2 linked regions of the Drosophila melanogaster genome follow. Each later gene encodes a partner of the first gene's protein in a complex. Each region holds a gene or a part of one and is shown in the gene's direction. Other genes may lie near its edges.

Region 1 (3,754 bases):
GAGGCTTCTCTTCCTTATCCGCTAATCTCAAGCTGTGACTGCGACGCACTCCCTCCGCCGTCAGGATTTGCTCCGCCAGGGCGGCCTCCGCTTTTGCCGCCCGCTCAGCGGCCTCCATGTACTTTTGCATCAGCTCCGACTGCTGTTCTGCCTCCGAGATGCGGGGCTTTATCACCTCGTCTCTGGACTCGCCCACCTCCAAGTACTCGTGCTTCCGGAGGATCTCCTCCCGTTGCTCCGGAGTCTTGGATCGTCGCTGTGGTCTCACGGGCGACAGGGAGTTGTTGCGACTCACAGACAGCCTTTCCGGTGGTTTTGGAGCTGTCGACGCCGATGGCGGCGGTGGAGGTGCGCCGCGGATTGGGGCTGCCACAAAGCCCTGGGGAATCTTAGGTGCTCGGGGCCGCGGGTGAGTCTCCTCCGTCGCATCGGCATCGGAGGAGCTGAACTGGGTGGAGGACTCATCGTAGCCGCTACTTCGATTGCGACCCCGAGTCTTGGGCGCCTCGTGTCGCTGCAGACGCAGGCTGTGGATGAGGCGGCGCCGTTCCTCCTCGTCCTGCGGCAGCTGGATGCGATCGCTGAGCTTGCGGTAGCTCTGCAGGAGGCGCTTGCGCTCCTCGTTGTCCAGCTGCTGGCGATGGCGCATCTTGTGCTCCCGCTTCTCGCGCTCAAAGAGCCTCTTCTCGGCCTCGAAACGCCGTCGTTCGTCCTCGAAGCGCTGCAGATTCTGCTCCAATCTGCTTAGCGTATCCTGTGTCTGGCCAAGATTAGGAATGGGCCTTTGCTGCTGACTACTGCTGCCGGTGGTCAGCTCACTCTCGCTGGACTCCTCCTTGTGCCGCGGCGAGGAGAGGCTGCGATGCTTGATCAGATGATTGGCATCCGGACTACTCAGCTTCTCAGCCTCCCGTGGCTGCGATTGACTACGCGCCGAGGAGCTGGCGAAGGACTTGTCCCGCTTTCGCAGGATCTTGCTCTCGTGGGCGGACATCGAGCCGGGTGGCCTGATCTGCATGCGCACCATCTGAGGTGATGGATCAGGGAGGGCATCCGGACTGGCATCGTCCTGGGGCAGGGCGTCTCCAGTGACGGGCGTCGGTTCCCGGTGGCTGCGACCCAGGCGCCTTCGATGGCGCTGCTGCTGCCTGGCGTCCATCGGCTGCTCCATCTTGTCCAGCCGCAGTCGTGTGCTACTTTCGCGATCTATCTTTGTGCTCGTGCTCGTCATTTAGCCATCTATTAATCTATTTTTAACTGCCCAACGAGGCGTTCATATTCCACATATGAAAATATGCCTCGGGTAATTATATCACTTTCGATTGCAATTTCGTATTATATGTATGTATTGTGCACTTTCTGAAACTTTTAAAGTCTGCACTTGTCCGAAAATTTTTGAAATTATTTTGCTATATTATCTATTTGCATATAGAATTTTATGTATCTGCTTCTTTCGACGTCGCGACACGATCGAATAGATTTAGCTTCTATTTCTCGCTTCCTCGTCCACGGCTGGCATCCAACTGCTCTCAGCAGTTGGAGAAAATTCAAATATTCATTTTCACTTTGCTTGTCTATATTTTTGGTAGATGTCTCAACAGCTGTTCGGCTATAGATATCTATATATATATATATCTATAATGCATCCGATGATGTTTTTGATGATTCTCTCTTACTCAATGTTTTATGTTCTCTTAGTGAATATTTAATGCTTATAAAAAAAGCACCAGGAATTTGTCTTAGTTAAACGATCTTCATTAAAACTATTCATATGCATAAAAAAATAACTGTTTTTAAAAAAAAAGACTAAGAAATTAATAATCAGGTCGATTGTTAAAAATAGTTTTAAATAATTTTATTGAAATAGAAGTTTCAAAAAATCCGCCCCTTGTGCCTAGTGTGACCGTATAATATACAACCGTATATACTGAAACACATGGCCGTGGCTATCGATAAGTCGATAACGAAATTTGAATTTCTTCCGTCTCTAAATATTTTGGTTGATCGGAACGCGCACGTGTTTTTGCGTTCAATTTTAATAATATTTGAAAATGGGATTTGGTAAACCTCGTGGCGGCGGTGGCGGCGGCGGAAGAGGCTTCGGTGGAGGCGGAGGCGGAGGAGGACGAGGATTTGGTGGAGGTGGAGGTGGACGAGGAGGTGGCGGAGGACGCGGAGGTGGCGGCGGATTCGGTCGAGGTGGAGGTGGACGTGGTGGCGGCCGTGGAGCCTTCGACACTGGTAAGTGAATGAAAGTCGCCAACTATTCCTATAACTAATCATCCAAACTAAGCTAGCCTGTGAACTAAGGCTAACTACGTCACTTAAAACAAGCAGTTAATACAGATTGTGCGAATAGAATTACAATAACCACGTTGTTCTCTCAAATTTTGAATAGCCAAGCCGTTGTAGGCTATAATCATGGGCTATATATATAAATATATTAGCTAAAAACACATCTGGAAGTCTCCTATAGGTATACGCTGTCTTAAATGCTTGCTATGTTCAGGCAAATTGCCAAATACTCATTTCCATTTTGTCACTTTAATAATATATCTTATTTTTTTAATTGTAGGTCCACCAGAGAGAGTCATCCCCTTGGGCAACTATGTTTACTCCTGCCAAAACGACCTTGTGTGCAAAGTTGATATTCAGGATGTTCCCTACTTCAACGCGCCCATTTTCCTTGAAAACAAGGAGCAAGTAGGCAAAATCGACGAAATCTTTGGAACAGTTCGGGACTACAGCGTGTCCATCAAGCTGTCGGACAACGTCTACGCCAACAGCTTCAAGCCAAATCAGAAACTGTTTATCGACCCTGGAAAGCTGTTACCCATCGCCAGATTTCTGCCGAAACCTCCACAACCAAAAGGCGCCAAGAAAGCCTTCACAAATAACCGAGGTGGAGGCGGCGGTGGCGGTGGATTTGGAGGCCGAGGTGGCGGCCGCGGAGGAGGTAAGATAGTGAATTTCATGAGTGCACCCCAAAGTCCTAACTTGTGTTTATCAACAGGTGGTCGCGGTGGTGGCGGCGGACGAGGTGGAGGCGGATTCCGAGGAGGTGCTGGTCGCAATGGAGGAGGTGGCGGCGGCGGCGGTTTTAACAGAGGACGAGGAGGCGGTGGCGGCGGCGGCGGTGGTCGGGGTCGGTGGTAGTTTTCAGTATCAGATCCTAATCAAAACATTTAAAGAAGTGTACAATCCAATTGTTGTACATGTCCAAATAGTTTCTAAGCAAAACCTCATCATTTGGGTATTGTTCGCTGACCAATCAATCGAATATTGTACCATAAATGATACTAAAATAAATTTCCTACAAATTTACAAACATGATATAACTGAAAACATATAGTTAATTGAAGTTTAAGTGATATTTTATCATTTATGAAGACAGTTAATTAACAATAGAATGTCAAACATTTGCTCACTTATTGAGAAGATAGTGGTTTATAACGAAAAATGGTTTTGTGTGAAAATAATACATTTGATTAGAGCACCTTAATGATTTATATGAAGTGGTTGCACAACTATCATCGTCTAGAATTTGGGGATCAATAATGTATCGACTTTATGAGAGAATCGCACTCATCCGAATTCCCTTGAAATTTTATGAATTCTTCGAGGTTTGTTTAAAATGCCCAATACTATTCGGTATGGGGGTTTCCTTCCGCTTTCCAATTGCCGTTCGATTCATGCATATAATTTGTTAAATTTGCAGCTGTTCTCTTCTCGAAGAACGAAGAAACTTTTGTGT
Region 2 (3,450 bases), on another chromosome or scaffold:
CTGTGCAAATTTTATAACAAAATGTAAAATTTTTTATGTTTTATGGTTAGGCATTTTCATAAAAAAAATTGTCAATTTTTACTCCAAGTGCTCTTTATGAATATTGTCATTATTGCACGCAAGAATTGTGAATTTTCGGCGTCATTAAATTAACTTAATTGATTATTTTCGTTAAATTAATTTGCACGTTTTGTGCAACAATTGTTTACATTTTATCGGTTCATCTGTTGACTGCCAATTCGCAAAAAAAAGATTTGTCGCAAAAACTTCGACGCAAAAACCGAAGCAAATCAAATCAAATCGCACCGCAAAAGTAACGACTGAAAAACTGGACAAACTCGCTTTAATTAGAAGCAAAATAATATTATGTAGACGGTATAAAAACGATATTTGGTACTTAGACATGTGAAATGGTAAATATTAATGCGTGGCGAGTTCCTTGAACTTTTATTCTAATTTATTTATTTCACCCAAATCACGAGGGTAAAGTCAGAGATTTAACAATAGCAAAAAAACATGGATATGAATATTCTAATGTGCCAGATTAACGTTTATTCTTAATCAATTATAAACAGGCACAAAAACCTTAACAGAAACAAAACACATTTTTATATAGTTTCTAAACTCTCGAGTTTTTTATGAATTATTTTTACTATTGTAGTTTACAATTAGTTATTAGGCATAATTCTTATATCATATTTTTAAGCACTTTGTGATAGTTGTGACTGTTGTTGAAATTTATTTTCTTGAAAAGAAATATACATATTGTAATTTAGATCTTAAAAACTCATTATATGATCTATTTTTAAGGATCGTTTTTCAGCACTGATCATGGTTCTATGACTAGGATTTTATGAGTTGCCTGATCACAGAATTTTCGGTAATTTTAACCGCTCTTAATGCGGTCGCATTAAAAAAGCAGTTAATTACAGTTAGTTGCATTTTGCAAATCTTATTGCACGTTTTTTTTTGTCGTCTTTTTTGTGCTCGTGGAAAATATTATTTGTAAAATTACCGAATGGAGCGCTACAATCGCGTCTATAGAGGTAGTATTGCTAATACTTTTGTAAACAAGTTTAAAATATATCCTTTAACTTTCAATAGATCCCGCATCCCCACTGACCCCACTCACTCCCCTCTCCACCGAAGCTTTTACATTCGAAGATGTCACGCCCACTGGAGGCGTTGGCAGGAAGGGTACCGCGAGATACGGACTCTTTGGAATGCCGAAGAACAATAATCTTACGGTTCCTAACAGTCGACCGGCATTGTCCGGGTTAAAACGACTATCGGAATCCACTTTGCCCCGTCGATTTTCACAGAAATTTATGCGCACGCGTTCCGTATTTTCGCCCACAAGTCAAAGTACCCTTATAAATGGGGAGACCAGGCTACTGGGAGAATCTGGAGATTCGAAACTACTGAGAACTAAGAGAGAAGACAGACCAAAGCCGGATATCCGACTGCAGCAGGAAACGCGGCTGAGGCAGGAGGAATCCAAGTTGAAAAGTGCGCGAAAGATTAAAGTGGAGGACCCAAGAAGTCCCACTCCCAGTATCCATCATTCACGCTATAAGCCCTGCTCCCCGGTGGAGCACCCCACTTTGAGTCCTCGGGTCAAATCCCTGCTCGATCGCACCGGAAACGCGCATCTCACAGAGCTGTTCACGCGCCAGGAGATCGACATCGAGGTGCTCATCCAAATGACCCTGGAGGACTTGGCGGCACTGGGCGTTCGCGGCGCCCGGGAGATCCGATTGGCCATGAATATTATCCAACTGGCCAAGCAATTCTTCTGATTTTATATCCTGTAGGATTTCTGCTAATTTTAAACTGTTTTATGTCATGTGGATTTGAATTTGTATGTGAGATTTTAATAAATGTTTAATGTGGTCTTGAAGTATTTTTGCGCGGTGATTGGGGCTTGGGATTGGAACTCTATTTTTAATTTAATATTCATTTAACATTAAGTAATAATTTTTCTCAGTGTATGAACTTAGCTAAAAACATTAGTAAAGTCACAAACCATAGAGTAAGTCGCATTAATCCATGTCTGAACGGTATTTATTTTAGTATATTTTTGCGGCACGCTAGTATGCTTCAAAAGTCGATCCGCGGTCACACTGAACACGTGTTTCGAACAAAAAGCCGTTTAAACAAAATATCCACGTTTTTATCAAAAAAGCAATGGGCAAAGTGAAAGTAGAGCGCTCCGAGGATGCCGATGAGTCCGTTGTGGCCAGCGGCGATGTTACCATCAAGGAGGAGGAGTCCTACGACGACAAGCTGATCTTTGTGAACGCCATCGCGAAACCGATGGCAGGTAAAAAACTGGCCAAAAAGTGCTACAAACTGGTGAAGAAGGCCATGAAGCACAAGACTTTCCTGCGAAATGGACTTAAGGATGTACAGACTCGCCTGCGCAAGGGCGAAACTGGGTAAGTGCTGCGTGATCCGTGACTGCAAGACAACAAGAAATATACCCACATCTTCTCCAGCATTTGCATCTTTGCTGGCGACGTTACACCTGTGGACATCATGTGCCACTTACCAGCCGTCTGCGAGGAGAAGGGCATCCCCTATACCTACACCCCCAGTCGAGCGGATCTTGGAGCTGCCATGGGCGTGAAGCGCGGTACAGTCGCCCTGCTGGTCCGCCAGAACGAGGAGTACAAGGATCTGTACGACGAGGTCAAGGAGGAGCTGTCTGCACTAAACATACCCGTCTAGATCTGTAGGATTAGTTCCATCGGCTAATTAAGTACCTAGTTAAGTTCAAAAAGTACCAATAAACTTCGGAGAATGCCGATTCTTTTGGCATCACGAAATCAATTTGATAAACTCTTGCATACGATTTTATAGTTTTCGTTGCTATATAAATTATAAGAGTCTAGGCAGATGGTGCTTACATATATCCTATAGCTGAATAAACAATTTTTTTTTAACTGCCAAATTAACTATTAACTTGTTCCCTCAATAAGCCAAGAGATCCTATATAGTAAGATATAGTAGTTGTTAGTTTTGTTAATAGAGATAGTTTCAAAACTGCTGATATGGAAATGGATAATTGCAAGACAGTAATTTCGAAACCAGTTAAGATGGAGTGACACAGCCGGCAAAGGAAACCAAAAGTGCAAGATTTTTTTTTTGCTGTCCCTTGGGGATCTTTTTTGTTTTCTCTTTTTTTTGGGATTTTTTATAAGTATTTTCAGCGTAGCTGGTTTCATATAAATTGTTTTACATATACAATACAGTTGAAATGGAGGATTTCGTTAGGCTTCTGGTTTCTGAATCTAAATCTGTTTCTTTTCATTTTCTGTTCTCGTGGTGCTCGATGTGTGGTGTTTGCTATTATTATTATTTTTTAGTTAGTTGCTGTATGTGTGTGGTGTCTAAATTTACATATAATTTAACACTAAATGTGTTCGTGTAGCAATGCAATGTATGCAA

The links.
Region 2: Gar1 (region 1) and NHP2 share a complex: the UniProt entries of both Drosophila melanogaster proteins name them as parts of the box H/ACA small nucleolar ribonucleoprotein (H/ACA snoRNP) complex.

What each region holds. Positions count from the first base shown.
Region 1 is NT_033778.4:21,095,529-21,099,282, reverse strand, and holds Gar1 (Gar1 ribonucleoprotein), read left to right. Parts: upstream 1-1,977; 5' UTR 1,978-2,051; coding exon 2,052-2,241; intron 2,242-2,575; coding exon 2,576-2,956; intron 2,957-3,013; coding exon 3,014-3,156; 3' UTR 3,157-3,325; downstream 3,326-3,754. Other genes in the region: CG34396 (uncharacterized protein), read right to left, coding at 1-1,171. UniProt on the Drosophila melanogaster protein: Component of the box H/ACA small nucleolar ribonucleoprotein (H/ACA snoRNP) complex, which catalyzes pseudouridylation of rRNA. This involves the isomerization of uridine such that the ribose is subsequently attached to C5, instead of the normal N1.
Region 2 is NT_037436.4:14,800,828-14,804,277, reverse strand, and holds NHP2 (NHP2), read left to right. Parts: upstream 1-2,109; 5' UTR 2,110-2,187; coding exon 2,188-2,438; intron 2,439-2,498; coding exon 2,499-2,730; 3' UTR 2,731-2,950; downstream 2,951-3,450. Other genes in the region: gnu (giant nuclei), read left to right, coding at 1,019-1,046, 1,105-1,799. UniProt on the Drosophila melanogaster protein: Component of the box H/ACA small nucleolar ribonucleoprotein (H/ACA snoRNP) complex, which catalyzes pseudouridylation of rRNA. This involves the isomerization of uridine such that the ribose is subsequently attached to C5, instead of the normal N1.